3 linked regions of the Oryzias latipes genome follow. The protein of the gene in region 3 interacts with the protein of the main gene of each other region in a pairwise test. Links are inferred from orthologs where the notes say so. Each region holds a gene or a part of one and is shown on either strand. Other genes may lie near its edges. The genes, in order: kctd4, tex11 and efhc1.

Region 1 (10,871 bases), on a different chromosome or scaffold from region 3:
ATATTCTTGCTTTGTGCGTGCGTAGATTTGTGCATAAATTTGGATTTGTGTGTGATTTGTTACTTGCGCACAAATCAAGAATTACGCACGCACAAATCCGACTGAGTCTAATTTCTCTCCATAAGTAGATTTTTTACGAGGGTTTCCAAAACCAGATTTCAAAAATAAAAGCTTTAGTGCTATTTTTTTTAAACTTTTGATCTGTATGTAATACGTTTTCTTTTTTTTTTACGTGGTTGCTAAAAAGGTAAAGTTCTCTGGACTGGTAAGAAAAAAGGAGTGCACACAGACACACAACTTGTGTATGACTCCAATTATAGCTATTTCTTTTATCCAATCACTCATTCTAAGGCAGGGGTGTCAAACTCATTTTGGTTCGGGGGCTGCATTCAACCCGTCTGATCCCAAGTGGGCCGGACCAGTGACATAAAAGAAAAAAATGTTTTTTTTTACTGAGTTGGAAAAAAAGCCTCAGCCAACATGGTAGCCTAATCATTTATTATTACAGATTCATTTACAGAGGCCAATGGATGTAAAATAAAATGCATTTCACTTAAAAAATTGGTTTAATTAATTTTTATTCAGACTGAATATTTTACATCTGACACTGAATCAATCCTTATCATAAACTCTTTATGGTGAGTCTCATAGTGGTACTGAATGTTGTATTCTTTGAGCACCTGTTGATGACATACATGCAGGTTTTGCTTTCAACTCTGTAAACAAATAAAACTTTGTCCATTTTTCCTGGAAAACTCAGGACTTCAACCCTTTTTTTCTTTTTGACAACATTTTGGTCATTAGGGTGTCACTACTGATCATTCTTATAACAATGTAACAGCAGTGGGCTTGCGGGGAACCAAAATAAATCTTATTCAGACACAGTCCCCCTAGTGGCGGAATTGCGCATGGACTAGAAACGTGCTTGTTTTTTTTTTTTAAACATTCTTATTTTTACTCTTTATGAATGGGCCGGATTTAACCATCTGGCGGGCCGGATACGGCCCGTGGGCCGTATGTTTGACACCCTTGTTCTAAGGTGTAAAAAGGCAGATTTTATGAGCTTCTGAAGGTTTTTTTCACGACTGTTGTTTGTAAAAGATGTAAACCATAAACACTGATGATGCAGCTAAAGTTTCCAGTGATGCACCACTTTGTAAACTAACTGCATCTATATAAAGCAAACAGCAGCGATGTAAATATGGCCTGTGTATGGACACTAATGGCTTCTGACAGGAATTACAAAAACATATGTAATGACGGCATTTTTGCATCTCTGCGCATTAGGAGAAATAGGCCCATAGATAGTAAAGCATCCTCATTTTGTGGTCATTACAAGCCTTCTTAGGATATTTTCTCATTCGGCATAATGCAGGGAATTATTAACATTAGTTTATATTTTGCTACAGCAGTATGTCAATAGCGGGTCATAATGACAAGGAAGAATTCTGTATGGGGCTGAAGGAAGGCCAAGATTGGATCTCCAAATATAAATTTCCATTAAAGCTGACGTCGTTCGGGCCCAGAGGCTGCTTCATTAAGGAAATGTAATGATTCCATTCGTTATATTCCGACCTTTGCGACTCATCCACCCGCTCGTTTTGATCTAATGTGGATAAACTGCATCCAGATGCAACGGGAGGCGGCTTTCATGTCCTACCAGCAGGTGGGCAGTTTAATTTCTTACAGGCGGGGGGGCCTGTGAGAAATCTAGTCTTTTTATTCGTACATTTACAGTTAATAACAGAACATGTATTTTTATTGTAATTTTCAATAAAAACGTGCCTCATATCCTGGGGCGTCAGGTACTTTATTCCAGCACTAAATTCTTTAGGATCCATAGATAGGGTTTTTTAGATCTCAACATATTGGTTTCTGGTGGCTGGACAAACACCTCAGACTCTGCCATGTTTGTGATTTTTCCTAAGATGTTTTCCATTTTGCTGCTGTCCTGCAGGAGAAAGTTGCCACTTTATAGGAGAGATACTGCAGTGTCTGTGTGCCAGGATGCAAGAATTTCTCAGTGGTTTATTGCACAGCAACAGGACAGATGTTGTTTCTTGTTAGGGCAGCTTTAGTTCTGGAGGGAAAACCGCAGTCTGTCAGTTTCTGGCTCCAGTGGTCGACATGTTGAAACCTCCTGGGGTGAGGCATTGAATGCCACACTGTCCTTAAAATGTATTTTTTAAACAATATATGAAATGAACGATATCTAATATACATTACAGAGTGAATATTTTATTACTATAGTTTATTAAAATGTTTTAAATGCTAATAAAATGGTGACATTCTCTTTTTCTTTTGAGCATTAACTCTAGTTTCACAGATGCTAAACCTCCACACACTGACTCTCATGGTAAATGAAGGCACAGATTGACAGCTCTGAGCTCTTAGAAGACCCTATTTTAAGTTGTTGCCATGCCAGCTTCATAGCAGTCAGTGACTCCATGTAAAAGCGCAGCTCTAAGAGCAGCACCATGAATTATTCACTGCCTTTAACAGCGAGGGCGAGTCCTCCCTAACAGCATTTTCAGAAACGCTGAAATGCCCAAAATCTGTCACTTCGATAAAGAGATTCAACAGATTCTAACAGACTTTCAATGGTTTCCTTCAATGAGACGGTTTTAATGAACAGGAGGCAGAAAACAGGTCAAATCCTCCCACAATCCTCTCTGCTGCCTCTCGCCCTCGTTTGCAATTCCAATTGAGCGTCGGTAAGAACAATTCAGCTAATTACCTATGATTTTTTTCTATTTCTTTTTAAATCACAGCAGAACACAGAGATGTCCCTCTTGTATCTTCTCCATGACCAACACACACACAGACACACAGATACAAAGAAAGGCAGAGTGTGAGTCACCTGCATCAATGTACACAGCAGCTGCACATTGTATCTAAGTGCTTCATTTTAAATGACTGTGCAGTCACCGCCTTCGGGGTGAATCTGCAACAGTTGTGAGGGTAAGTGGCTGATCACCTGTTGCATCAGTCTAAACCACCTGTTACTCACTTTGGAGTTTAACATAAATTCTCATCGATTTATTTTCATGCACAATGCCACCTAAAACAAAAAAGCAGGAGTGTGTAGCCTCAACTTTCAGATGAGAAGAATCATCTTTCATTTAGTATCAAAACAAACAAAAAGTTAAAAAGTATATTCAACTTTCCTACTTTATGCCAATTAACAGCTTTGTGGCCAACCCTTATTGTTTAAAGTCCCACTTCAACTGTATTTTGGTCTATTGTCAAATAATGATTGTACCATTTTTAGCCACAAAAAAAAAAGACTTGTCGTTTTCTAGGACGTTTCTGCATAGTGGCAGGAGTTCATTAGAAATTCGCCTTTAAATTGTGTGTAGGACTTGGTCCAGAGTAAGCCTGCCCCCATTTCCCATCATCCCTTTGTTTACATTCTCTCCCACTAGCTTACAGCCCCTTACAACCCCAACCTGACATTAAAGCATTAAAATAAAACAAAAATGGCGAGTAATATTGGAGGTATCCAGCCGTAACGTTTGGAGCTACAATAAATGTCAGCTCTGGATGCATCAGAATGGAGCAGAGCAGGGAGCTTGTGGCCCGCCGACTGTAACTTCTAGGTCACTGCTACAAGCTTTTTCAAATTGTATTTTTTCCTTCTGCTCCTGATTCAAAACGATTTTAATAATACTCAGAAATGGGATTTCAAGCTTAATGTTCTTTATACATGTCCATCATCAGAAAAACGCCATAAGAACATGTTAAAAAAAACATTATTTTCATTGGAGCACGTCTTTAATTTATGGTATCCATTTTTGGCAATAATGCTGCTAAGATTATTTACTATTACTTTTAAAAAAAAGTCATTGTCATTATTTAAGAGACAAAATGTCTCATTCCAAATAGTTTTTGAACCTAATTAGCTGTGGATTTACAAAGGTCTTTCTATCTAGCTTCTATTTAAAAGCTGCATCTGCAAATGGATCAACAGCAGTCATTAGTTTTCTTCTTCATTCCTGCAGCAGCCGGATACTCCTGAGTGTTCAGCCTGCCCTCAGGCAAAGTACAGGAACCGAGGACATGAGCATCCTGACAAAGCGGACTCGCACAGCATCTGGTAGCCTGCACTGACAAATGCGGCAGGTATTCATTGTCTGATTTGTGCACAATTGATGATAAATTATGCAAACTGATAGGCGATGTGTCCCTTGAGTGAAACCCCAACTAAAGTAGGTTACAAAGCAACTGCACTGAAATACTTCTGCTTTTGGGGTCAAAACCAAATCAGACCAGCTGTATATGGAATTTCATGCACATTCTTCTTTATTTACCTTTCTAAGTGCAGCTAAACTAACATTTAACCACATGTTTCATAAGAAGAAGGTGCGGAGAAACAAGAGATTATTTTTTCTTTTGATCACTTAAAATTGTTTCTTAAAGCTGAGTTTAGCTTTCTTTCGGTTCAATGTCAAAATTAGTAGTGATTTGTCTCTTTGGTTAATGTGTTTAAGTTATGTTTGTTATTTGTAGATTCCCACCTTGTAGGTCCGATGAGCCAGTTTAAAACCCCCTTAGTGTATCCTGCTGGATGAGTCAGTTTTAGTTTGTTTGAGGAATTTGTTTGTGATTTCCTTAGTGACATTTGGTTAAGTTGACCCCATTTTATTTTGGGGCCATTCATAAGTTGGTAATAGTTATGTTGGAAAATAAAAAACTTTTTTTTAACATCTTTTCTCCTGTGGCTCACAATCTCTAAATGGTTTATCAAAGCTATTTTCGATCATTTTCCAAATGATAAAACCAAATAGAAAAAAGGAAATCTGGCCAACAAGACTCACGTGATAACAGGTAAAAACTGAGGGCGTAACAATTAATGAATCAATACATTCCTACGAACCAACCAGATCAATCTGTCTGAGCCAAGTTGTTAATTGACTTGACCTATACCATTATAAAACATTTTCAAAATGAAATAAATTGCTTATATCAATATTAGGAAATACCATTTGGATTGAGGTACAGTATATTTACTAGAGCGTAAAAACGACCAAGTGCTTCACACGTGATGGCAGCAGAAAATGATCAAGCCATCATTACAGTGCAATGTATGGAGACACTTTGACTTTAGCAGAGACTTGTACAATGTGGTAAAATGTTCTAACAACGTCCCCTTTGGATTATTTGGATCTGGAAAAATAACAGTGGGTTGAACTTAATGAAGCTAAAATGTTAAACAGAGATTCTTGTTAACTTGTTTGTTTGTACACAAATCTAATTTACTTTTTATTATCTTTGGCTAAAGATGTCCAGGATGAATTTTAAGTCAGTGATCAAATCGTTCAAAATGAACCAAAATCCACGATGAAATGTATCAGCAACCACAAATTATTATGTTAATCAAATCTTTGTTAAAGTGAATCATTCCACCCATAGTACAAACATTGACAGGAAGGTAGAAAGGTTAAAACACTACGTTACAGCTGATTGAGTCATCAGACCAGCACATACATGTAAATACACATAAATGCTGGGCCCTCATGTTTCCTCATGTTTAACATGAAGTGTGATGATTTCTTTGCACTAGGAGAGACAGCCGTGTGAAGCACACTCACAGCGTGAATGCTGTGTCCTTTCATTTTTTTTTGTGTGTGTGTAAATGGCCAGTCTTTTGCAGTTCCCAAACAGCGGGACACCTTTTCAAAACATTGCCAAAAGAAAGAAAATCTGCCCCTAATGGCCAAACTGTAATCGACTGCAGTTGATTCTTTTTTCCTCAACCTTAAATTATTGCAATCAATCAATGTGTCCACTCACCAGGGCAGAGACCACTGCTGGCTATCTTCAGAGAAACCCCAACAGGATATTTACATGAATTTAATCATTTAATTTGCATTAGCAGGGCTCCATCAGATTAACAACAAGCGAAAAAGACAAACCTCGCCTCAACAAACCATCACTCTTCTCAGACAGTCAGAAGTAATGATGGGAGGTAAATCAGACGTGTGTGTGCAAATAGAGTTTTGAATTCATGCTCACAAGTCTGACTATTTTCCTGTGCAAAGATTATAAAAGCCCAACCACCCCCTAACTTCCATCTGGTGAGAGGATGGTTTAGGTGCGGGTTTGACACCTTTTTTTTTTTGCCAAAGATAATTAAGGACTGAGAGAAAAAGAGTCCTCACTATTCTGTTGTTTGCTCACATACTCCCTTTTCCTCCTCCCTGAAATGTGACGCTGTCTGCACACCCACTCTTAAAGAGAGACACAGAGAGAGGGAGAGTGGAGAGGAGGGACACGGATCGGCACACAGAGCCAGCTTGCAGCTCCTACTTCACTGTAGCTGCTCTGCCAGACAACACTCAGCCATCCACATCACACTCTCTCAAACACATTTGCTCTCTCAGCCGACAACACCCTCTCAATTTCTCAGCTGCATCAAACGTCCAAACGACAAGGTGAAAACAAACCCCACGCACAGACACCAGCTCTGAGGAGGAGGCTGGACTGAAGCTGGAGGGGCTGACTGGAGAATGGAATGGAACCTCAGAAGGATGGAGAGTGAACTGAGGCACATCAATCCGGACCTGCTGCAGCCCAGCAAAAGCTTCAAGAAGCCCTCTTCCGGCACCATCACCCTCAATGTAGGGGGGTTTCTTTACACCGCCCATCGGACCACCCTTTCCAAGCACCTCGGGTCCTTTCTGGAGGAGGTGGCCAATGGTAAAAAGCCGGTTCAACACACAGATTCTATGGGCAATCCCTTCATTGACAGAGATGGTCCTGTTTTTCGCCACGTGCTCAACTACCTCCGGACCGGTGAGCTCCAGCTGCCTGATGACTTCCGTGAGGCAGGGCTGCTGCGCAGAGAGGCCGACTTCTACCGCCTGAGCCAGCTGGTGGAGGCCGTGGTCGAGTGGGAAAATCAACGAGCAGCCCAGCGAGAACCCGCGTTTTTGGAGGTGACAGACAGCCACGAGAGGTCGCAGGGCCTCAAGGTGTACTGCAGCGACGCCACCTTCATTGAGAAGGTTAAGGGACGGCTGGTGCAGATCTCCAAGAGCCGCTTGGACGGCTTCCCAGAAGAATTTGTGGTGTCATCAAATGTGATCCAGTTTCGCCACTTCATCAAGTCTGAGCCGGGCTCACGGCTCGTGCTGAAGGAGGACAGCACGTTCGTGTGCACTCTAGACTGTCTGAAACTAGAAACAGTGATGCTAGCACTTAAATCGGGGTTCAAGTTGGTCACCAGCCTCGACAGCAGTAAAGGCTCTGTGGTGGCAGCGGAGGCCCTGCACTTTGTCAAGTAAGATGAAGAGAAATGCAGGAATCAGAGAGAAGGCAGAAGGGAAAGTACTGCCATATTTCATATTCACTCCACTAATGTCAGGTATTGGTTTGAGTCTTGTAAAATGTGTATTATGTGAATTAGTAGATAAAATAAAAGGTGAGCTGGACTGTTTAGGACAGACTTTACTAATGAAGCTTTGGGCGGTTGTTTTTAGCAGAACCATGTTTTGGCATTTGCCGAATTTGCACTGCTCTGTATTATTGTATTGTAGAATCCAGAAAGATCCTGATAGCACAAAAGCCCCGGTGACATGGACGACAAGCCACAAACCAATCTTCACGCGGAAAATACTGCACTTCAAGTTCCATCAATACATGTGTGCTTTTGTCAGTGGCTGCAAAAACGGAAAAAACAGCCCCTTCATAAAAAGCCTGTGATGTGCACTGTTGTGCCATTCAGCTTTTACTACAGCCTGTGTGTGTGCGCGTGTGTGTGCCTCGCCGTACACGGTGTGTGTGAGTGTTTCTGTTTTATTAGCTTGAGTTTTTTAGTTCGATTTGAAAAGCAGAGCTCACTGAAGGCAGGCTTAGGCCAACACACAAACGTTTAATTAACTGTTAAAGTTTAGGAGCAAAGAGCTGTGATTATTGCAAGGGCTTAGAATCTTGCATGATGCATGTGCACAGAAATCCTTTTTAAAAAGTGTGTTTTGTAAGTGCCGTGAGCCTCTGTGAAGCCAGTACCACAAAAATGCCTATTTCTTTAAATGTGAATATTTTACAAATAAAATGGATTTAAACAAGCAGTTTGTAGTTTCTTTGAAATCCTGGGTTTATTATATAAAACAAGTATTAATTTGTTTGCATGCGGAGGTCATTTATTGCAAAACTAATTATTCAGGGAATGTAGAAAATTATAATCTGTAATTGTTTACTCCAATTATAATAATCTACCTCCTGTGAAATGGACATGAGCAATATTACAATACCTCACATGGTAAACTTTGTTTTCACAGAATATGAAGCCTAAAATACACTACACATGACAAACATGACTCATTTTCCATCTAAAATAGTTTGACTTTTAGTTAATGTTTTATCAGAAGTATAAAGTAAAGATTGAAGAGACCCTAAACTTGATGAAATTATGTTTGTGTTGTGTTATTAGAGCATCTGTTGATGTCATTCTGTCCTGAGGACAGCACTTTGATCTGCAAAAGCAGAAATGTCCTGCTTTCAAAAGGCTTTCTTCCTCTGCTGAAAGTTCCTAAAGCTCTCACACTGTAGCACTGATATATAGGGATGCAGAAATAGCATTAAAAATATATTTGCATAAATAAAATTAATATCTCTTTAAAAAATGTGCAATATTTTTAACTCTGCAAACACTTACTAAAAGTCATTAAACGAGAAATCACCATAAAAGATGACACTTCTAACAAAAATATGGATTTAAGTACTAAAATGTACTTATCAGTAAATCTTACACCTCTTATCCTAAATATGATCTTAGGATAATCAGAGAGAATGTTTTCACTGCAGTGTCTTTACAAAAGCATCAGAGTAGTGGCGTCATATGAACATGGTCATTGTTCCATTCTTTTGAAAGTGAGGATCCTGTAAGTGCTGTCAAGATGTTTGAAATGACCACATTTACATGTTCAAGCTAAAAGACGGGTTCAAACACTGTGTGGGCACAGTTACATCAGCTATAAACCAGATACTAATGTGTTCGGTGAGTGTGCTTTGGTTAAAAAAAAAGAAAAGAAACTGAACATCAATAAAAGCCTTTTAAATGCCAACTGAAAGTAGTGAGATTACATAGGAGAACTATTTCTATTTCCCCCTTTGCCAAGAAGCCACACACATTGCTACAATAATCACCAGAATGATCCTGGAAATCAAGACACTTTAATTTTTTTGTTCTATTGAATCCAAAACAGAACTGTTAGTATTTCATCCCTTCATGTAAAATAATAAAGAAGCAGCTTACAGGCTTTTACATTTTTAAACTGGGTATTTTTTTTAGATAAATTGTGTATTTTAGATAAATATAGGCTCCAAAAATGATAAATTAGCCAAGTTGAGAGAACTCTCACAGGAGTTCAACAAGAGTGTCACAATGAAGATTTTCCCAAATACCAACAATAAATAAATAAAAGCTTGTTTTTATCATTAGAAACTATGCTTTGAGATTGACTGCAGTCTTTTTCATTGTTTGTGTCCATCAGAAGACGGGCATTAATTGCTCTAAAATCTGGCTTCAGTGATAGACTAAATTGAGCTAAATAAATTGCATTTTGAACTGATTTACAATCTAAAAACTAAAATGATCAAAGATTTTTTTGTTTGTGTTCTATTTGAATGCAATACTTCCACACTTTAAGCCACTGTGAAATTTCCTTCGGTCCATTGCAGCTTGACCAGTCATACATAAAATAGAAAACAGGCTGCCACGTATTATAACTTCAGCCATTAAATGATTAAGCTCCGTAACTACTGCTAGACCCCCCCCCCCCCCCATCAGATCGTTTGTTATTTAACTTTTAAAAGAACAACAAATTATGGTTATAAATACCCCCATTATTCCTTTTCATTATCACTCATTATTAGAGTGCCTTTAAAACAAATTATAAAATAAAAGAAGCAACAGAACAGAAAGATCCACAAAGGTCAGGTTACATGAAGTCATCCTAATGTTTAAGTAAACTACATATTTGTAAAGCTAATGTAGTTCCCCGACTTAAGTCGAGATGTCAAATAAGATTTTTTAGGGGGGCATTCAGGTGGTTGGACCAAAGATGATAAATATGATCCACTTGAACAGTAGAATGCTATAATGTAAAGGTCTGACTATGAATAAGAAGCTCTTTTACTCATCGATGATGCCTGTGCCAAACGCAAAACAAGCCCAGCCTGGCTTGAACCCAAACAATGTGAAGCCGGCATGCGTCATGATTCATTTATGGAAGCTTGTGGGAGTGGAAATCTTTAAATTTAATTATCCTGGACATTGGACAGCATTAACCCCATCTTCTTACTGCAAAGGGAGATCCTTTTGTCATCAAAGTTCAGGCTTCTTTTTTGCTGCCTGAACGAACTTTTAATTGCAGAGCATTCGTCTGTAGGGAGCCGCTATCAGCTGGCTTGAAATGAACACCGTCACTCTTTTTACCGCTTACTGTGATTCCCCCGCCTGAGACCAAAAGCATCTGCTCTGGCAGACAATGTCGCAAAATCAACCAACCCTCCCTCAGGTTGAAAAAGCCAGCTTTCAAGCCTGACAGCAGGAGAACAAAATGCACTGTAAACATGAAAAAGGCTCCAAACAGTCCAGATAATGTGACCCTTCAGGATGGGGTTCCCTCTGTGGAGCGCAACGCAAGCTCTGGCATTTTGCTGTAACATTCAGCCCGCTCTTAAATGCAGATCAGTTCCATGCATTTTTTATGATGGTGGCAGGTTGACTGTATGTTTTAAGGGATCGGTCTGAAGTAAAAGTGATGAAAGTGTAATGGAGGCAGCATGAGACGCACAGCAGCGCAGATAAGATAAGCATTATCAGCTGGAGGAAAAACACAACCACCCTCTATCTCGATCCTTTC
Region 2 (10,871 bases), on a different chromosome or scaffold from region 3:
TCTTTGTTCACTACTGGAGGATATAGATGACATTCTTCCAGTGCTTTGCTTCAAATAAACAAAGGATAATTTATCTACACTTTGGTTTGTGTGCCATTTTTTTGACTTCAATGTAACCCTTGTGCTATCCTAGGCACTTTAACATTGGGAGTGGGGTCATCTAGACCCACTAGACAGTGCTCTGAACCTTTTTTCTTCAATGATTTGTGATCTTCACTGGTGTCCATGGATTACATGAAATCTTTCCACCTTTATCCACCTTTGTCATGGTAGGGAGAACACGTCAAAGTAAGGGGGGGGTCATCTAAGATAGCACAAGGGTTACACAAAATCTACAGCAGGGTGCTCACTTTTTTGGCATGTCAGCCACTTTTGAGTCAAAAATGTCTTGAAGATCTATCTATATCTATATATACTATTAGTACATGTTTGTTAGTTACATGTTTATTTGTACATTGTTGTTTATGGACTGATAATAAAAAACACCACACTAAGATTACACAGAAAAATTTTTGTATTAACAGATGAGGCGTTTTATTACAAAAACACAAAGCAGCGACTATCGTACGTCATTCTCTGTTGTAAACTATGTAATGCGGAGAGCATGGCATTGCAAAGGCGCTGCTGGCTCTGTACGAAGCGCGTGCCACGGAAAACACTGCTTCCTTACTGAGCTCGTATTTATCGGGCGGGAACTGAGGAGCCGATAGCAGGAGGACACAGGGTGGCCCGGGCTTCAATGAACACTCCAGTTGTCCGGAGTGGTCTTCTGCAGGGGAGTTGACGTGCCGCGGGTAATGAGGCAGACAGAATTTGCGCTCAGTTAATTTAAACACGCATGTGCAGTGACGTATATTTCGTAGGATGTCCGATTGGCCGTTCTGCATGTCAATCAAGTCCCGTACTTCTTAGTTTTTGATTGGCTGATGGATTTTTTAGAAATACATATTTATTTTTTGGGTTATTTGTCTTTGCTGGCCTGCGATCTATCCTCATGTCTTTTGAGGTCATGGTGATGCTGGAGCCTGTCCTGGCTACTGTTGGATGAGGACGGAGTACATCCTGTTGTTCTGTTGCAGGGCCACACAGTTGTGATGCACAATTAACCTGAGGGAGGAAGCTGGAGGGTCTGGAGAAAATCCATACATGCATGGGGAAAGCATGCAAGCTCCACACAGAAAGGTCCTAGTTGGAATTTGAACCAGGGCCTAATTGCTGTGAGGCGAAAGCGCTAACCACTGCACCACGGTGCCACCTGCACTAATAGCTATGGAGGGAAAAGGTTCATTTGAATTTGGACAAGCAACACCTACTGGAGTCTTCGGGAGAGAGGTTTGATCACAGATTTTTCCTTCTGTCCAGACAGTCTCACCTTTTCCAACTGCTTCAGTTTTAGAAAGCAAGATGCTCTGTTCCTCTGCAGTTTGGATAAGTTCTGGTCCATCTGACCCGCCTTAAAGAAGCTAAGAGAGTAGTCATACCACTGGAGAGCTTCAGAATAATTGTCATCCTGTAAAAATCAAAAAGATTAAATAAATTGACTTCTAAAGTCAGTAACAGTCAAAATGATAGAGGGAAAACCAGGCTACTGATGAACCTCGTAGTGTTTGGATGCCTGATCCCACAGTATGATGTGCAGACTTGTGAGTGCCTCTGGTGCCAGCTGTTTACCGGTATAGTGTCCTGATCAGAAAGGAAAATCATCAAAAAAACAAACATTTCATGGATTACTACTCTAAAAAAAGCTGTAAGAAACGTTAAGGGTAGAAGTGAAGTACCGGTAATGACATCCTCTATCTTCTGTCTGCTCAGCAGCACCTTGCCTCTTTGCAGCAGCAGCTCAATGTGCAAGACAAGAGCAGTTCCCAGACTAGGAGATGACTCGAAGTGCTGACACACAGTTTTCAAATACTCAAATGCCAGCACTTCTCTAGAATAATCACAAAAGATGCATTTTCAGAGGTGCAGAATAAATGTCCTCATCCGTTTAGGATGCATTATTATTTCAAACAAGCAAATAAAGTTAAATCTGCAATCAGTTTTCTGTTTTGTTTTTAACTTCCTCACCTGTTTTCAGACATGAGCAGTCTCACTGTGTTCAGACACATGTCAAGAGAAACTTTAGATTCCAGCATCTCATTAAGACCTGAAAACACAGGTTTGTGATGCAACCTTATCTGTCTGTCACTCAAAGATTCAAATGACACACTAGGAAGCATCCAATCTAAGTGGTACAAGCTTTGTGACCACCAATATCAGACTCATTATTTCTTTCTATTCTATTTCTATTTGTGTTTATTTTTGTAGCACATCACTGACGGCAGTCAGATTATGACTGACCTGCTCTGACAGGGCTGTCTGGGGCTCTGCATCTGAGGAGAATTCTGATCTTTAAGTAAAGTCCAAACGGGGTCACACACTCCTGCCAAACACCACCATAGGAATAATCACTCTTCATCCTTTTACAATAAATATTTGACGTAATATTGCCTCACGTCCCACCTTGTTTGCTAAGCTGACAGTATTTAGAGCCTTTTCCTGAAACTTCTCACAGTCCCACTCTAAATAACACGTGGCGAGCAGCCGCAAAACTTTGGCCTGTTTATGAGTGACATTGTAAATATTTTCTTTTTCTTTTTAATGACTTGTTCTCAAAGATTAGCATTCCTGCTGCTAACTCTATTCATTCTGTCTTACGGGGTCTTACCAGAGCTTCTGATCCTGGACCATATTTCATGTTTGCTTTTCCAATGTCATAGCTTTGGCTACAAAAACAAACAAGGAGGAAGAGATGCATTTTTACCCTGGATTTTTTTATTTTATTACTTTTTATCAAACCACATTAATAAATCTACTACCTCAGCCAAAATGCACTGTCTTCAAACTTTGTCAGATTGTATGCCTCGATTCCAAAGTTGTAACAGACAACTGAGAGGTACGCCGTCTGTGATGAAAGCTCACACTTAACACCCCCCTCACTTTCAACAACATGTGCTTTGAATGTAAGAGAACAGTAAGGTAGCTGTGTTTTACTTCATTTGGCAGCCGCAGCAGTATGTCTTTGCATCGCTCGATGAACACTATGGCTTCTTGGTTGTTCCCTTGAGCGATAGCCTGTAACAAAGATCAGATTGTGTATTAAATGAAGGGAAATGAACTTCTCTCAATTAGCTATTTCAGAACCCCCCCTTCATTGTTTCTCAGTCACAATTTTACTGTCTTACACTTCACACTGCAAGTCTGTCAGAACAGCACCTCCCAAGCTGCAAAATATCACAAGAACAAATATTCACATTTAAGGTGTTGAACATCACATGCAGCACTGCTCACCGACTCAGCCTGGCACGACAGGATCCGAAGAAGGTCCTTCTCCACATCTGCCTTGGATGACAAGATGTCAGGTTCGTCATTGGCTCTGGACGTTAGCTGGCGGTAAAGGGTTTCCAAGCTCTAGGAATATACCATGTTGGATCATTTGTAAAAGAATAAAATAATTCCATCCTTCTCCTTTCAGCTAAAAACATTTCCAGATTTTATCCAACGTTTCTTTCTCACCTTGACGGCAAGTCTCAGAAAGTGATCTGCCATCTGAAAGTTTTTGCAGTTCAGCCAGGCTCTCCCTGCTTTGCTGGCCATCTGGAAGGATAAGATATCAACACACAGGCCTTATCCTCCTGAAATGCCAGGCTATAAAAAGGAAAACCTCCAGAATTACTTACCAAGATTTGTTTTCGAAAGGCGCCCTCTGTTGGACTGTCAGACTCAAAGCAGTACAGCAGGTTGCATGCAACATGGCGAACTGATGATGATAAAAAATATTAAATGAGGCATTAACCTTGCCTGTAATCCCCATAATTAGGTTTGTGTTTTAGAAAATCAAGAAAGGTAAACATTTAAAAACTATACAGACTGCAATTGGAAGAATACCTTTAGCTTTTTGGATTGCAGTTATGGCGTTTCCCACATTCTTGGTAACAGCCCAGTTCCACAACTGGACGGCACACTCCTGAATCTGTACCAGTAAAACAAGACACTAAAAACATGCCAATAACTTATATTATTAGACTTAAGCATTCAGTTTTACTACTAAAACTACTAAAAAGTAGTTAAGCTATAAAATAATTTCGAAGTTGCAGGTTCAAGATATGTTGGGATAGGGGGAAAAAATGTTTAGCTCCACATGAACATATAAAGTCAGAATTCTGAGATTAAAGTCAGAATTTTCTATGCCCTTTTTTTTTTTCTTTCTCCATGGCCCTAATCCTCTTCTGTACATATCTGTCCAGGACTATAGACTATATTAAAAATAGTACAATCTAAAACGATTGATAAATTACCTGAGGATCTGGTATTTTGAGAAAGGAATCTAAGCCTGAGACTTCAGAGAAAAGCTTCTCTATAACCTCATCGCAATCTGTTAGATCTTTCTGCTGTAAGTTTTCTGTGAGACCTGTGAAAAAGCAGAACGTTTGAAATGAATAGACACACTAAGAGTAAAAGATGTTCAATAAATATATGTGACACATCCAATAACTGCTCCCCTTGACAGTAACTTCTAGTTTGCCATAGCAGAAAAGGGTTCTGGCATATGCTTGTTCTCTTATGCTTTTAAGATCTGTGAGGCGGCAAGTTGTTGTATATGAAGCTGATGCAAATTACACCCTCCACACTTTTAAAAGTGGGTGTTAAAAAGAATTCTGTGAGTGAAGTTCACAGTCAAAGCATAATGGTAACTGTTATGTACACTTCTAAGTTATTTTTGTTGCTGCAAAGCCTCAAATCACACTTTTTTTAATAACTAGAGACATTTGTTTTTAGTTTGTTCTATTTTTGTTTTTTTCAAATCAAGCTGGACAGTGAAAAAAATTACTTGCCCTTTTTTCTTAACAATTTCCAAAATATTGATTTCTGCCAAATGTTCTTTATCGTATTTATCCAGGATTGAGCAAAAAAAAATAATATATATATATATATATATATATATATATTATATACACACACATATATATGCATAAATGTGTGGGTAACAGAAACAGACCCTCCAGCCCCCTGAGGCATAATGCTCCCGTTTTAAAGAGTAAAATGATAATTTTGTTAACCAATTCAAAATAATAAACTTTATTTATACCCTAAAAGTCTTGCCAGCCATTGTTCCACAACAAAAATAAAACCAAGCATGTCTGTCTGTCATAAAAACAGCTTCAAGATTCTCTTCGTTAACTTTAAAATTGCTCTCATGATTTCTGTATAGATTTTTCTCTGAATAAACCCAACATTTATATAATATTATTTATGGCAGTCTGCATGTTTTTTTAAGGTAGTTTTAAAGAAAGAAAAAATATAATTAATTTGTTTAAAAAATAAAGCAAACATTTTTTTCACTCGGACAAAGGCTAAAGCTAAGGTAGGATTTATGTGCTTAATTCATTTCATTAAACTAGCTTGACAAAATAGTACATGGCCTAGCAGATGGTTTAGCTAGGTTAGCCCCAGTTATATCGCGATATAACTCATTGATTACCCCCTACCCCTGCTGATGACGCAGTTACAATTATTTATGGTTTGTATCTGTAATTAGCCGTGTAATGTAGTTGAACCGACTTATACTCACATTTCACAGTCGAAATAAATTCTTCCATTTCGAAAGCTTCCATAAGCGGGATTGTCTGGAGGAGATGTCTCACCAAAGGAGAATTTACAATCGCCCGAAAATGCCCGCGAAAACGAGGCGGACGTTGACGCCACGGAGTTCGTACTATGTGAGGTCAGTTAATGCTACTTCCTGTCTGCGGACAAACTTTAACATTAAAAGAGCCTTTTGGGCAAGTTTCTGTGACCATTGACTGTAAATGCGGACCAAAATCCATTTAGAGCCGCAAAAGCTCACTTTATCAATTAGAAAATAGAATTTATTTATGTAGTTTTCAAATATTTACAGTAATTTAACTATAACAGTGTTATGTTTTTCTGCATTTATTAATTGTAACTTTATTTACTTTTGACAAGATCCTTTCAAAATAAAACACACCCTGTGTCAAATAGGATCCTTTGCTACAGGAGATTTACTTAAATTTAAAAAGATAGAAAGATAAATCCAATATAACATTTTCTATTATTATGATTTTGGTGGGCCTTCATTTTTTTTCCTTTTACTCTCAAATATTAAACCAGGCAAAACAAATCTATATAATGTAAATATAAACTTCTACAAATGTTCCTCCATGCACTTCCTAGGCGTTTCTTCTCTTTAACCACACACAATAGATTAAACCTTTTACTGTCATGATGCTCAGTTACCTGACATTTTAAAAATCTAAAAATAAATGACAAAACGTAATTAACTCAAAATAATCCTGACTACGACAAAACCATTATTTACGCAAATTATTAGAATTTTTTCAAAGCCAAAAAGCCATAATGTAGGGACAAAGAGCCACATTTGGATTTGGAGCCTCAGATTCAGACTCCTGATTTAGGCCTATTGACTACTAGGCTATATGTTAAAAGGGTTTAAAAAAGGATATGTTATTATTACTATTTTTCTTTTTTGATGTTATGTGCTAGTTCAATTGATAAATAAAATCTATGTTACAAGAAAGCAAATATCAGGTAAGATATACAAGGTAGAAAAAAGTAGCCATCATAGTGTAGGTAATATTTGCTTTCTTATATTCTGGCTAGATGATTAATTTTTTATATATAAGTATTCTTAAATTAGCGTTTAATGTAAATAAATAACAAAATAAATACAATGTAAGAAATAACATGGAAGGGCTTTTATTTTGATAGTTTTTTCTTTCCACTCAAAGACAAAAACTCATACACAAACACACCCATACACAAAAAAAATAATCAAGAAAATAATGTTTAAGACCAGCATGAACTGAAGGTTCAAACGTTTGCCGTTGTGTTGCAATCCAGAGATACTCAGGAAAAAATTAAAACAGTCTTTGGGACCACTTGCTCAAAAACATTGATGATTAAGCCATTTCTGAAGCTTTGACACTTTATTGAGAGCAAATCTCCTCAAACAAGGAAAACACAAGAACAGTTGTGATCCATCTCCAGAGTGGCCTGTTGAACAAATTACCACAAGAGTGCAGTAACTTATTCAAGAGATGTCAAAAGACCCTGCTATCTTTGAGTAAATAATCTAAGGACTGATTAGATTAAAGTCAATCTTTTCTAAAAAATACATTTGTCTACAACATTTGGTGTAAAAGTAACACAGCACGTGAGAAAACAAACATGTTACAGTGGTGAACCAGGAAGACTTGCTGTGGAACCACAGCTTCCAGTGTCTACCAACAAATCCTGAAGAGAAATGTTCTCCATCTGTTTGACTTTAATCTGAAGCACACTGGCTGATCCACCTTTTAATGCCTTAAAAAGGACAAAAAAGTCTTGCAGGAAGAAAATAGAAATATGGTCTTAAACACACTGAGGTTCAATTAACTAAAACTGAAAAGGAATGTTATTGAAAACTGATGTGACACAGAGGTCAGGACCGAAAGGCAAAACGTCTCGAAAACTAGCAGCTAAAAATAGTTTTCTTACTTGATGTTCCTTTGGAGATAAAGTGAGGAGTTTGGTCACTTGTGTGGAGCTTGGGGTAGAGTCACTTCCCTTCCACACTGAGAGAAACTAGTTGAGATGGCTCAGTTAACTCATTTGCCTCCTGGGCGCCTCTCTAGGTATTCAGAGCGTGTCCCACCGAGTTGAAGACTGTGTCTCTCGGCTGGCCTGGGAGCACCTTGGGGTTCCCCTGGCAGAACTGGAGGACGTCTTTGTGATGAAATAGAAGCTGAAAAAGTGAACCGACATGGGTTTTTAAAACACAAAACTGGATTTTTGTGAAATTAGTTAAAAACAGAACATAGCATTGAACATAAAGCATGAAATAATCCACAAGGAAACAAAAAAGCAGAACCTTAAAGACTCACTTTGATGAAATACCTGTTTTTGGTGTTTTTAACATGTTCTTGTGGCATTTCTTTCAAGATGTAAGACATACATAAAGAAAATAAACTTAAAACTGCATTTCTGAGTATTTCTTTGTTTTAATCATTGTGAATCAGGAGCAAACGAAAAAAGTGTAATTGTAAAAAGCTCATAGTTGTCACTTAGTTACAATCAGAGGGCAACAAGCTCCCTGCTCCACTCCATTCTGATGCATCTATTTGCAGACAAAAAGATCCCTTAATTTAAATACAATGAAATATGTGATGTTGGTGGACTTTTCTTGTGTCTAATATACATTTTTTGTCTTCTTAAGTAACAAGAACTTGAATGTGTTTTATTGTATGTTTTACTATATAAATATGCTAACTTTGAACATAAATGGGCGTGCCCTGTGGTTAATATGCTGAATAAATAAAATTTAAATTAATGTCTTTTTTTTCCGCGTGTGAGCTGGTATCTGAATCAAAACTGTACGGCTGGATAGCTCCAATATTCCGTGCCATTTTTGTTGCACTGGTAATGTTAGGTTGGGGGTGTGAGCTATATGCTAGCGGGAGGGTACGTAAACAGATGGGCGATAGGAAGTGGGGGCCTTGCTCTGTGCCAACAGTCCCGCCCACAAATCAGAGGCAAATTTCTGATGAGCTGCCGTTTTACTGAAACTATGTTTTTGAAAACAACAGTTTTTTTGTTTTGGCTAAAAACAGCATAATCATACTTGAAAGACCCCTGGGAACGCTTTTACAATAGATCAAAAGATGTTCGGAGTGGGACTTTATTTCCAATTCAATTTCCCCATTGTGGGATAAATAAATAAAAAGTAAATTAAATTTAAGGCATATATTGTCATGTCAGGACTCAAAACACAACCATCAATATTTTTACACCATTGTGACAGGGTTTCATAAAATTATCAGAAGTTTAAAAGAATATTCATGGTTTTTAATGGTGATCAATATAAAAGGCATATAGTGTTCAACCATTTTTTTAGACCCTCTAATATTATACATCTTATATTTAGAATGTGTTTCATGCAAATGTGAAATACTTACTAATGTTAATATTTTTGCATGCATGCTTTTTAGTAGGGGTGTGTATTGGGAAGAGTATGGCGATACGATGCATATCACGATACGTGTCTCACAATACGATATGTATCGCGATACATATCAAGTGTCACTCGTTTTCATCTAGAGCCCACCACAAATCACCACAAACCATGTTTTTACATGATACCGGCAGCAACATGGCACATGTTAGTTCCGGTTCGGAACCCATCCCAAGCAAAAATTAAGTAGTACATGTCTCATAACAACAGAGACTGCAAGGCTGACTGAACATTTAACATGTAACCCTTGAGCTATCCTAGGCACTTTAACATTGGGAGTTGGGTCATCTAGACCCACTGGACAGTGCACTGAACCTTTTTTCTTCAACGATTTGTGATCTTCACTGGTGTCCATGGATTACATGAAATCCTCTCCACCTTTATCCACCTTTGTCATGTTAAGGAGAACACGTCAATGTAAGGGTGGGGTCAGAGGATAGCACAAGGGTTAACACAAGCTGATTCTCGCGAGATCTTGTTGTTTCGGTGCGGTGTAGAGCTACTCTGAGAGGATCAGTGTGCTATGCTGCCAACTAGAGGTCGGGGGTTTGAGTGGAGAAAAAAGTTAGACGTTGAATGATGCTCATAAAAAATTAAATAAATATTATCTTGGCATGATTTTAAATCAATAAAAGTATCATCAAATGAAATGTCGCAACATATTGACAGATCGATTTTTCCTACAACCCCAGTTTTTATAATTTACATCCTTTCACACCCATCTTGAAAATCGCAATTTTTTATTTATCAGGTAAGAATTTCTTTAGATTACAATTTGGGGCTGTACTACAATTATGGCATTATTTCAGTTTTATTATTTTGATTTACTACAAGGTTTTGATTTAAAAAGAAAACTGTGACACTCATTTAACTCAATGCCCTTTTTTAAAATAAGAAGTTTGGGTTCATTCAGGCCAAAAGGAAGAATGCTTGCTGTGTATGTAGGACCAGTTAGTGCTCCAAAGTGTGTTTTGACCATCAGCCTTTAAAATAAATCACTTCAGATCCACCCGCTCAGCAAGCAGCTTCCAGCAATTGTCCATCAGGAGACTTATCTGCTGCCCTCACGACCTGATGGGAATGTCTCCTTTGCTCAAGCCCTAATTATAAACACATGCTAAAACTTTTGGAGTGAGCATGATCACCTTTTCTGACCAAACTCAGTTCATTGTGCCATTGGTTTTTTTTGTGTGTGTGTGTGTGTTTTTATCTTTACAGTTTATGATAATGCATTAAGTTACAGTTGTTAACTCCAGAAACTATAAGTGAGAGGGAAGACTTGAGTCACTGAACCTCAACAGTATTGTTAAATCTAAAACTACTAAATGTGTGATACATCTTTTTTTCTTTCATAACCAACCATGCAGATTTCAGAAACTTTGGTGCACTCTCAAGCCCTCCAAATATGAGAAATTACATTTTTCAAGCAAACTTTTATCAATTTGTTCTGTAATCTGCCAAAGTCCTTTAAGTTTATTGAAAATCTCTGGATCCTTAAATCATGATCGTTTAGCTTCTCAAGAGAAAAGACTCCCACTGGGGAGAAATTACAAGTTGTTTCCCAAGATGTGTCTTATTCCCAATATCCTTACACATCAGATTTACGCTGTCCTCCTCCTGTCACCACCAGGGCAGGATGCTCTGCAGCAGTGCACTAATTGTTGCAATAATAAAAGAACACGTCTGAAGCACATCCATGCTCCACGGGGTCCTGCTGGACAAAAGCAGATTATTTACCCTGATATAAAAAGCAGCTCATCCTGTTGTTGAAGTCAAAAATAAATCCAGCTGATGTTTATTT
Region 3 (10,871 bases):
TTTACATGTCTAACCTCAAAGTAAAAATGCCAAATATACATTTTCAATACCACATTATGTAATTGTGCTGTAAGATTTTGTTGCATTTCTTACACAAATTAAAACATTTTTTGTGCTTCCTTTAAAGTCCCGAAGAGATTGCTTCAGGAGCCAGGTCCAAGACCACCAGTGTACCCCCTGGAACCAGGCGCCCATGACCCCAACATAGTGGGAGACAGTCCTCCTTACGGGAGCTCAGTCAAAAATCCTGACCCGGACTCAGGTAAACAAAGCACACATAAACAGAGTGTCAAGTGCAGCTTTACAATTCATGTTTGAGGTCTGAGCATTTATATGTTTATCAAAGTGTTTCATAATATCCCAGTGGGGGGAAAAAGAGAAAATGAAACCATGTGAGATTTTAGCGAGGAAGAAAACTCATAGTTTTTTTCAGGAGGGATGCTGGCTTACATCCAACACCATCATTACTCTGCTCAGCCACCGGATCCTCAAATGAATGGGAAGTTAGGAAAGGTGAAGGGCTGAGGCCGTGTTCTGTAGTGCCGACAGCCCTTATCGGATGAGTGGCTTCTCCTCCCTGCACAGACTTTAAACATTCCACCTACAGTTCGTCTGGGAAAAAAAAAGAAGTTCTCATCTCTCATGTGACTGTGGGAGCACTAAAAACAGAGGATTTCAAAGCTCATTTACAAAAGTTTCATTTATAATCATTTGTGGCATTTCCGGTCAGTCAGACTTGAGCTGAGCAGAGATTTAACTAGAGAAGATTCTGAGAATTGAACACAAGAAGTGACCGTCTGCCGCTGACCTGTAATCCAGTAACACCACCATATGTCTCGTCTTGAATTTGCAAAATTTTGTGACACTGAGCTGATGCAAACTCTTGTGGGCAGACTTTGTTTACATCAAACAAATGCAAACTGCTTGTGAGGTCACTTTATTTGCTGTGGGCGGAGTCTTAGTCTGCTTTAGGTTTGCACACACCTATATTCCTCTATGCATTCTCTGTGCATGCTTCATCTTGCTCAGGTCTGCTGGAGCCCTGAGCAGGTTGACGGTCTTGATTTTGCCACTTTGAATCTCCCAGATATCTGTTTATGTCTAAAACAAAGCATGTTTTATCATTAACATAAGCTTATTAAATCAAAAATATGAAATTATTCGGAAAATTATACAAAAAATTGAAGTGTACAGTAGTCCGGGGCTTTTTTGAGCATATTTATTACTTTACAGTTTATGATTTCCCTTTAAAACAGTTTTTCGTGGCAATCCTTGACCTCCATCTTTTTAGTACAACCCCAGCTTCTTTTTAGTTGATATTTTTTATAACAATACACAATAAATCCACAAAGAACCCAAAACTGTATGAAAAACTTTATTTTCAAATAGTACATTTTGTCATTTTTGTAAAATAAGAATGAAAAAAAAAATACTTTATGTTATACAATCAAGGTCAAATGTCTAAAGGCAAATAAAATTGTAAAAGAATAAAATAAAGACAGTCAAAACAATGTGAAAAATGCCTTAAATTAAAAATGAAAAACAGGCAAACTAAACAACATACAGTGTTTCAAGGATTTATTACAAGGGGTATTACAATTGTGTGTCCTGTATGTTTTAAGGCCAAAATTTCAAAGCGGAAACATTTATTTAAACGTACACGTTACATTTTGATTGATAATAGGGCGCCGGTGTCATTCCTGTGTGTTTTGTGATTACCAAACTCACAATGTTGCATTTTAAGGTTTCTGAATGACTTTGTCTGTTCTGCTGTAAATATAATATATATAAGGTAAATATAAGGTTCTCTTTATAACAAAGCTTTTATTCTATTCTGATTTTCTCTGTTTAGATTAAAATTAAAAAAATAATAATTTATTGTAATTCTTTTTAAGTTAAATTGTTTGTAAAACTTAGTAGCTGTTTCTTTACAGATGTACTGTATTAGGGCTATTTTTATGCATTAAAGAGATTAAGGATGAAAATCAGCTGATCGACTCCACACAGCAGCTTTCCCAGGTGGAAACGTTTACCTGCTCAGTGAGCAATTCTTGTCTAAACTACATTTATCAGATTAGAGGAGGCTGACACACCTTAGAGACTGTGTAATTAGAGGTCACTTGTGTGTGTGTGGTAGCTCACCAAAGCTTGCCTGCCTTCATTTACCAAAAATTAAAGGTATAGCAGCCAAAATCCTAGAAGATTTTTTTTCCCATGGGACTCTTTGTCCCTTAATGACCTGAGTCAGACAACGGATGATGAGTTGCTTTTTAGGTCATACATTTTTTTCAGTATTCAACAGAACTAAGATGACTCAGGTTTCTGACAGACATTATAGTGCAATCTTGTTTTCCTGTAAATTACCTCAATCGTTTTTTTGTTTTTGTTTTTTGTTTTCCACCTCACAGCCTCTTTCTGCCTTTTTAAACCTGAAGCTTTCCGGACAGACTGTAGTTTGTTTTGTGTCATTAAACCGCACTTTTCTGACCTTGCAACCATTCTTAACAGAGAAAAACAAATTTGAAGAGACAGAAAAGGGGAAGCCGCAAGAAAAAGAAGGAGAGGATCCAGAGCAGTCACCAGAAATGAACCCCATCGCCAACTCCACCTCTGGAGCCAACATGGCGCTCTTCAGCAACGCACTTGCAGCCTACAATTACATATCAGGTAGGACGTCTTGTAACATCAAAAATGCTTATTGCTTTAAATCCAGCGGTTCAAGGACAATGGAATACGTCCCAATGCCTGAAACATGTGCACACCAATTTTTTGGTATAGATAAAATCCCTCATTTCCCCTATTTTAATTTGCCAGGACTGAAAGGTGGCCAAATGTGGGCTAGAGGAATGTGGATTTAAAAGAGATAGCGGCTGAGTAGACCATAGAGCTCCAAGCAGCTGCTGGAAGAAATTATCTTTCACACATAAAATACTACCTTATGCACAGTTTTTGAACAATCTATAAGTTGAAGTGGTTATTTATATTTTACTTTTTTTTTTTTTTAAACTGTGTTGTTTTTTAGGACACAGTTTCTGCAGGGATTCATTTGAAATTCACCGTGACTGTTGGGGCAGATCAAGCCCACCCTCCATTCCCATCACCCATAACTGAGCAATTTGTTGACACACTCTCCCGGTGGCTTACAGCCCCTCACGCCCCCAGCCTAACATTTGCGGGGCAACAAAAATATTGAAACAATATAGGAGCAATCCAGCCGAACAGTTTTGAGCCAGAGACCAACTTGGACAAGGAGAACGTTGTCAGAACGGAGTGGCCTGCCCACCATATTGTCTACACAATCTTTTTTAAACTGCATTTTTTTTTTCATCTGCTCCACAATTTGAAAAAAGAAGTACTCTGAAATACAAGTTTGCAAGTTTTTGTTGAAAACTTTTGGCAAGTTTTGATCAAGTTTGTTATTATTGAAGGGTTTGAATGAAAGAATTGACTGAGCCGGTTTTCCAGCATGGTTGACTGAGATTGCGAATATAGAAGATGCTGCCGCTGAGTTAAATGTAAACAGCCAGTAAGAGCCAAACCACTGGGATAATGTTGGAATCTTGCTCAAGGCAAGCAAGGCTGCTGGAGCGGAGAGAATCTGGAAGAGTGGATGTAAAGGGGAAAAATGTGCACTTATAGGAAATTAAGCAATCAATACAAAATGAAGGCTATGCTGCAGAAATACCAAACCAGCAAAGCGAGCCAAATAATTAAATATAGATGGTCAAATAGGTTTAAAAAAAATTGAAGATGCAACATCTTTCTTTCTTTTTTGTCTTTCATGAAAAAATCTAATAAATAAAACTTTTCCCTCCATCATTTGTGTCCTTCCACTCTCCCCTGCACTAGACCACCCAGAGAGGGCTGCCTTGTTCTTCGTCTGTGGCGTGTGTTTGGGCCTCTTCCTCACTCTCTTCGCCCTGGTGGTCCAGATCTCCTGTCGCACCGACTGCCAGCCGCGTGAGCGGCCTCCTGCCAAGAAACGTGCGCGTCCCGCCGACTTATCCTCAGATTCCAGTGATTCGGACTCAGACTGGGACACCACCTCGGACCTCTCGGCAAGGAGACACAGACGCTTTGAGCGCACGCTAAACATGAACGTGTTCACGTCAGCCGAAGAGCTGGAGAGAGCTCAGCGGCTGGAGGAAAGAGAGCGAATCATCCGGGAAATCTGGATGAACGGCCAACCGGACATCCCGGGGACACGGAGCCTCAATCGGTATTACTGAGTAATACCTGGAGACTTTTAATGGGAACCTGACTTTAACTGAAATGTTGTACAGAAGGGGAAAGAGACAAACCCAGACTGAGATTCAAAAGCAACAGTTTGACAGTTTTTAGTTGGAAAAATGTTCCCCTCTCTCTGCTGTTTTCAAAGTCCATTTGGGTATCATAAGCTATACCCCCAAAAGTCAAACAATAAGCTTCAACTCTGCATTGTAAGCTTGCCTCTTGGCTCCCGGAAGAAAGAAGTGAAAGACTACACTGACTTACCGGTGACCTCGGCGGGCTTTTGAACTGAGGATTTATGGGTTAATGAACATACACAAGCCTGCAGAGACTACACGGTGACTGAAGGACCAAGGCCTCACAAAGGTCTGTTTTACAGCACACAGGGCAGCTGGAAGAGACTGTGACACTCTGAGCTTCACGCTCACTACCCTCCAGTATTGAAATGTGAACTTTAACAGAGGGGCATTTTTTTTTACCAAAGTGCGCTCGACAATAAGACAGTGTAAGACAATCTTTTCACAGTAGATGTTGCCTTGAGCTCTATAAAAACCAAAAGATGAACACCTTATGCAATATATTTTATTATATTTAATGTTTCATTGATGTTGTGTATTTTTCTTCTCAAGTAAGGTTTTATTATGAGATATTTTTATACTTTGCAAAGGTTGTCTGGCGCCTCAGGGATGCAATCCTAGTGTTTCTGTGTTTGGCTCTTCCTTAGAAAAAGGGGGAGTTGACTGAAATCACATTGTCAGCATTTATAGACAAGAATAGGAGATATAATGTAAAGCACCTCAAAGAGGTTCCCTTTTTATAGTTTAATCCTATTTTTGATAAAGTAATTCAAAGCGGAGAGGCTTTTCTACCCTTTAAGTCGAGTTTATGATTACAACAGTCTTTTTTGATCAACTATAGGACATTTATTTATTAATTGGAATCTCAAATGTATGTAATCTATTTGTGTTCCCTTTAAAGTACTGTCTCTATGCTGATGTGGAGCTTGTGTCAAAACCAGAATGCTTCTGTCGAGTTTAGCACCTGCTATCTACTCTGGCATAAATGTAAATTAATAGAGAACTGCCTGTTTTTACTATAAAAATGCATTTTCAGGTCATCACTTTTCAAGCAATGTCTAAAAGTGGCCTTTATTTAATATGCAGGACGTTGCTTGTGTTTGTCACTGCCATCTGAAGGAAACAACACTACAAAAACGGTAAAACGGCACCAAAATCATGCTATTTGCTGGAGAGATGTGTACATTCTTTTCCAATTTCAAGCAGATATTTTAACACATTAATATTATTTTCCTTATAGAGATTATTCAAATAACCACCTCACCAGAGATGTCTAAAAGGTTTAGTTTGAATATAATGTGTCAGTGATTTTTACCACATGACCAAAATGGATTATGCGCTTGAAATAAACTTCAAAAGGAAAATGTGTTCCAGTGAAAGAAATGAAAAGAGAGTTTGTGTCTTTAATTTCCAAGGTGTAAATGTGAAAAAACAAAAACTGTCTGGACTTTTTAGCTTCGCTCGCCCCCTGGTGGTGCTATTAGGAACTTGACGTTAGTAGTTTAACAAATTAAATAATTTTTTTTTTTTACCGTATTTCCAGATAAAAAATAAACATTTATGAATATGTAATTTACATATTACACAAAAGAAAGATATACAATCTGTAAAGATGAGATGTATTAATTGCTTTCCAAAAGATGCTTGCAAAGTTACGTTTTTTTTGTCAAACTTTATTTAAAACAAACTGCTGCTACGTCACAAGTGCTAACACTAGACGTCGTTACCATAGATACCGTCAAAGCTTCAGTCGCGCGTCCTTCCCTGTAGTTTAACGCCCCAACAAACTGTTTATTTGCGTCGTTAAAAACGACGATTGTGAACTTTTTCTTTCCTGACTAGAGAGTTACGAAGAAATCCCGACCAGAAATGTCTTCTCCGTGGAATAACTATGGTTTGCCATTCCTGCCCGGATATTCATTCCCGGATTACACAGTAAGAGCCGTCATGGTGGATTTAAAAAGGATATAAATTTCCAAAAAAAAAAATTCTCATTTAAAATAGTTTTTTTTTTTTCTTGAAAAGTATCAATAGATCACTAAAAATGTGATTTGCAGATTTGCTTATGTTGGGAAAGAAGTATCTCTATTTTACTAACCGTCATGTTTTCAATTGTTTTTTTTTTATCCTTCTCAATAAATTATTGGGTTACTTGAATTAATTACTTGAATCAAATTAAACTTAACAAGGAAAAGTATATGTATTTATAAGAAAGGATATGAGGCAAGAATGTCAAGGGTTCAGTACTGTTCAGATTCCATCCTTCAGCATTTCTAAGACCCTTCCTCAAAGTGACAAGGTCAAGCAGCAGACATTGAGGAAAAACAAGAGACTGGCAGAGGGCAAAAACAACTCCCCAAAGACCTGGATGGCCGACTACTTATTCAAATGTCACTCAGCAACAGCAGGGAGGCATCAAGAGAGCTATAAAAATAATGGAAATGGTTGCTGGAGCGAGGAGAATTACTCAAAGGCGGCTATTAGGAGCAGTGTTTGAAGCAGATTGGAAAACTGGTGGAGAAGCCGAGATGCATTAAAGCTTGGATTATCAAAGGTTAAATTCATCCAATGTTTTTGTGAACATTTGTTTAATTATTTTTGTTGTGTTTTTAAAGTTAAATAAGCCTATTTCTTTCTAATTAAGGTATGAAAACTCTGCACATTCTAGTTATTTCTGCCAATTGTTATTTTATGTACACAAATGTTTAAATAGAGGAAAAAAGAAGCTTTTCAATTTAACAGAAATAATGTCAGCAGTTTATAAAACAAAACAATATTTTGTAAGTATAAAAAAATCCCTAGAAACCTAATATTTTCAATAGTTTTCTGTTTTTATTTTTATTCAGAGCTTGCATTTATTTCTCTTCAACTTGTTGTTTCATGATTTGCGGTCGCAGAAATCCGCCTTTCATCGACCCCAGACTCTGGACTACAAGAATGGCTATCCTCTGGCTCAGCGCCTCTCCATGGGGATCGGCCAGGAACTTCATTTGTCCGAACAGCTCAGCACAACAGCCCAGCATCTCAGTGATCTTTCCTTTGGGATGCCAGGAGAAGATCCGTATGGCGCTTCTGACCGGAAAGTCTATGAGCCTTTTAAGCCAGTTTATGTGGCTCTGGACAAGAAGGTGTGAACTCAAATTGATAAAAGCATTAATTATTTCCAAATAATTCCCCACATGGTCTATCACCGGCCTGCTTTTTTTTAAGGTGCTGTGCTTCAAGGCATTCTTTAAAGAGGAATTCTTGAATTCCTCTGAAGAATACCGTGTGTGTCCAGTGGTCATCTATTATCACCTGGAGGACGACACTATGACCATTGTGGAGCCCAAAGAGGAAAACTCCGGGTTCGAACACGGAAAGAGGCTCAAACGGCAGAAAATACCAAAGAATGACCACGGAGAGTATTACCTGTGGAAAGACCTCAACATTGGTATGGATCTGAAGGTGTATGGCTTCACATACCACATCACACAGTGTGATGACTTTACAAAGGTACACTACTCTTCTGATTAAGACTTCTTCTCCTTTTGTGTGTCCAGCCATTTTCATTTGTAGATTTCTGTTTCTTTTCCTGCTTGCTTTTCTTCTCTCATTCACACAGGAGTTTATGGAAAGTGAAGGGATCATTTTGAACGAACCAGAGCCAACACCGGAAGATCCTTATATCAAAAAACGCAAAGGCTCACCACAGCCTCACACTCAGCCTTCCACAACTGACAAGCTGCACCAGTTTCTCACCATGGATGGAAAGGTAGAGAATATCCATATTATCTGCTCAGATGTTGCATTGCAATAACAATGACACTTAGAATAACTATAAATAACTTAAAAATGTACTTTTACCCAGTAAGAAAGGAGAAACACTGTTCCATATAATTAGTATTTTTGTTTTCATATTCTTACATTTTCTAGTAGAAAAAAACAGATTTTTAAAAATGTATACTCTCCACATACACTCTCAGTTTAAAGTTAGAAATAAAAACTATTAACCACCAGTCCTGTTCTCGTCTTGTTGTCTATTTTAGGTGCTCAGTTTCTCTGCTCTGGGGGAGGATGTGAACCGTCAGTACACTTTGCCGGTTACCATCCACTATTTCCTCGTTGACGATACTGTGGAGATCAGAGAGGTGGTCTACAAAGGCAGAAGACAGAACCATTTCCCTGTTGTGATGCGCAGAGTGAAAATACCCAAAAAAATGAAATCAGGTAAAGACGTTTTTCCACCATTATATTTCAATCGCCTCACAGAAATGCTCAAACTGATTATAAATGGAACCCGTCACTTGGACAGGACTTCTGTAGTTGTGTTCTTGTTGCAGAAACGTTCCCCACCTGTGTGATGGAGATCTCTCACCTAGATGTAGATGAGTACTACTCCCCCAAAGACTTTCAGCTAGGCCAAACGGTTACACTACTCGCCCGTTCCTTCTTGCTGTGCGACTGTGACGACTTCACCAAAAAGTATTACAAGGAGAACCACCCAGACATGGAAATGAAACCCTTGGAGGTGCCAGAAAAGGTGGACACACCTCAAAAAGAGAAGGTAAGGTTTCAAATATGTACCAACTGCATTAATTATGTACATTTTTATAGGATTTACGATTTTACTATTACTTTATTCACAAACTCCAGTTAAAAATGGCTGCTCCACAGAAGAATCCTCCCAAAGTGGAAAAGAACCTCGAGAATCTCAACAAAGTATTACGCTACAAAGCCAAGCTGGTAAGAAAAATATACGAATTTGTTACTGTTAACTACTAAATTGTTGTTACAATACATCTAATGTACCATTTCTGTTGAAGTCAAATATTCATTACGTTGTTTATTTTTTAGGTGTCTCCATATCCAGAAGACAAAGATCGTTCTTTCATCTTAATGTACTCTCTCTTCAATCAAACAATCAGCATCTTTGAAAAGGGCACGTCCAGTTTTGACTCTGGGTTCTTACTGAGGAACAGACATGTTCCCAAGCCAGGTTCAAGCCAGGAAAACCCAGACTTATACTCACCTGCAGACTTTGCTATTGGAGCCACGGTAGAGGGTATTCATCTCCTTATGGAACATATTCAGTGTCGTATCATTTCATCCAATGTCAAAGTAAAAGTAGTCATTTCTTTTCTTTTTGTCTGTAGTTTTTAGTCACCGCTTCATCCTGACAGATGCTGACCTCTATGTGCTCAAATACCTGGAGTCCATCTCAGACCAGGTCCCATCTCAAACACTGGATTCTCTGCGACAGAAGTTAAGCACTCAATCTAATAATGGTCAGCCCCAGCATTTTAACTGTCAGTAACAGCTTTTTATGGAAGCATTTCTGTCTCATAAAAGCCAATACCATTTCATTTTTGAAAAAGAATTTCTGGTATTGACTTTTATTTTTAATTATGAGAAAGAATTGCTTCCATAGATTTTGACCAGCAGTCAATTTATTTCAGTTTATTTGTAAAAGGAGATTTTTCACTCTCTTTTTCATTCCTCTTCCTTCAGGTGAAGAAGTAAAATCATCTCATGTTTCTCAAGTTTTCTGATCCAAAGACCAGATGTGCTAGGAATTTTGCAAAATGTCTCTAATAAACGAATTGCATCTAAACACTGATATATCTATTCCTTATATTTAGAAATAACTTTTTCCAGAAATTGCATTACTGACCAAAGAACAAGAGCAAAGAAAAAGACCTCAGCTGGTTCAAATACAATTTGAAATCATGTTTGAACAATTGCATTATTTAATAAAGTAATTAATAAACAAATCGGAACAAAAACAAAAATCAGAAATGGAATGGCATGCAGTGTTATCCAACATACTTAATGGAAAGTGATAAGTGACACATGTACAGTTTTACCAGATAGTTCATATCATACCAAAAATTAAAAAATTAAAATAAAAAAATCAGTAACACTTTTCTGCTCCTGTGGACTAAAAAACAGAACACAAAGGCTCAACAGTCCGAGCTGCAACGCTACAGTACTTCAGTTTGAGGATGAACACGCTTATTTAACTATTTTATCACTGCATACAACTGTCTGCTTTATGATGGGATTGCAAGCTGCAAGTATGTTTTACAAATACAAAATACTGATACAATGAGAAGGATAAATGTCTGTTGGGATCAAAGGATTTTCCTTGGATTTCATTTTCCAACATCTGCGACATAGTCCTTGGAACATCGCAGGACATTTTCAGCCAGAAGCTCGACGACCAGCAGCCATCAGCTTCCCTCGGGTGCTGATCGAGAACCTTAGCCACCACTAAGGCAGCTTTTCACGCCAGTCAGAGGATCTTAAAGAGATTTGAGTTTCTTTGTCCGGGGAGAGACTCCATTCTCCGCTTTAAGAACTCCGTTTTCATGGTTACCAACTAACCAAGAGACAAAAAGGAAAAGTCAAAATGCATTTTTAACAAAGCAAGAAGCAGAGTGAGGAAAACAAATGACCAAATAATGTCAGCTCCTTGCTAAATATGGGTGTCCGAACTTACGCGAGTCTCTCTTTAGGGGCCGCAGGGGTTGTTTTGTGGCAGCCTTCTTGCGAACAGCCTGCTCGTGTCGGAGTTCCCTCCAA

What was found.
Region 1: the proteins of efhc1 (region 3) and kctd4 interact in binary tests that used the Homo sapiens proteins (3 or more experiments, as listed by UniProt). The two-hybrid records come from large-scale screens. The link is inferred for Oryzias latipes from reciprocal best matches to the Homo sapiens genes EFHC1 and KCTD4.
Region 2: the proteins of efhc1 (region 3) and tex11 interact in binary tests that used the Homo sapiens proteins (3 or more experiments, as listed by UniProt). The two-hybrid records come from large-scale screens. The link is inferred for Oryzias latipes from reciprocal best matches to the Homo sapiens genes EFHC1 and TEX11.

What each region holds. Positions count from the first base shown.
Region 1 is NC_019879.2:17,069,527-17,080,397, reverse strand, and holds kctd4 (BTB/POZ domain-containing protein KCTD4), read left to right. Parts: upstream 1-6,240; 5' UTR 6,241-6,509; coding exon 6,510-7,286; 3' UTR 7,287-8,072; downstream 8,073-10,871.
Region 2 is NC_019868.2:11,384,479-11,395,349, forward strand, and holds the start of tex11 (testis-expressed protein 11), read right to left. Parts: upstream 5,773-10,871; 5' UTR 5,655-5,772; coding exon 5,612-5,654; intron 4,451-5,611; coding exon 4,338-4,450; intron 4,013-4,337; coding exon 3,928-4,012; intron 3,800-3,927; coding exon 3,720-3,799; intron 3,637-3,719; coding exon 3,556-3,636; intron 3,451-3,555; coding exon 3,331-3,450; intron 3,115-3,330; coding exon 3,034-3,114; intron 2,945-3,033; coding exon 2,859-2,944; intron 2,766-2,858; coding exon 2,708-2,765; intron 2,599-2,707; coding exon 2,503-2,598; intron 2,423-2,502; coding exon 2,341-2,422; intron 2,147-2,340; coding exon 2,068-2,146; intron 1,931-2,067; coding exon 1,779-1,930; intron 1,684-1,778; coding exon 1,598-1,683; intron 1,511-1,597; coding exon 1,373-1,510; intron 1-1,372. UniProt on the Homo sapiens protein: Regulator of crossing-over during meiosis. Involved in initiation and/or maintenance of chromosome synapsis and formation of crossovers.
Region 3 is NC_019882.2:6,989,289-7,000,159, reverse strand, and holds efhc1 (EF-hand domain-containing protein 1), read left to right. Parts: upstream 1-6,010; 5' UTR 6,011-6,176; coding exon 6,177-6,242; intron 6,243-6,591; exon of another isoform or gene 6,592-6,861; intron 6,862-7,183; coding exon 7,184-7,435; intron 7,436-7,517; coding exon 7,518-7,802; intron 7,803-7,911; coding exon 7,912-8,061; intron 8,062-8,335; coding exon 8,336-8,516; intron 8,517-8,629; coding exon 8,630-8,853; intron 8,854-8,942; coding exon 8,943-9,032; intron 9,033-9,143; coding exon 9,144-9,344; coding exon of another isoform or gene 9,345-9,351; intron 9,352-9,417; coding exon 9,418-9,574; intron 9,575-9,797; coding exon 9,798-9,838; 3' UTR 9,839-9,900; downstream 9,901-10,871. Other genes in the region: protein eva-1 homolog C, read left to right, coding at 128-262, 2,509-2,667, 3,850-4,229; translocating chain-associated membrane protein 2, read right to left, coding at 10,592-10,668, 10,789-10,871. UniProt on the Homo sapiens protein: Microtubule inner protein (MIP) part of the dynein-decorated doublet microtubules (DMTs) in cilia axoneme, which is required for motile cilia beating.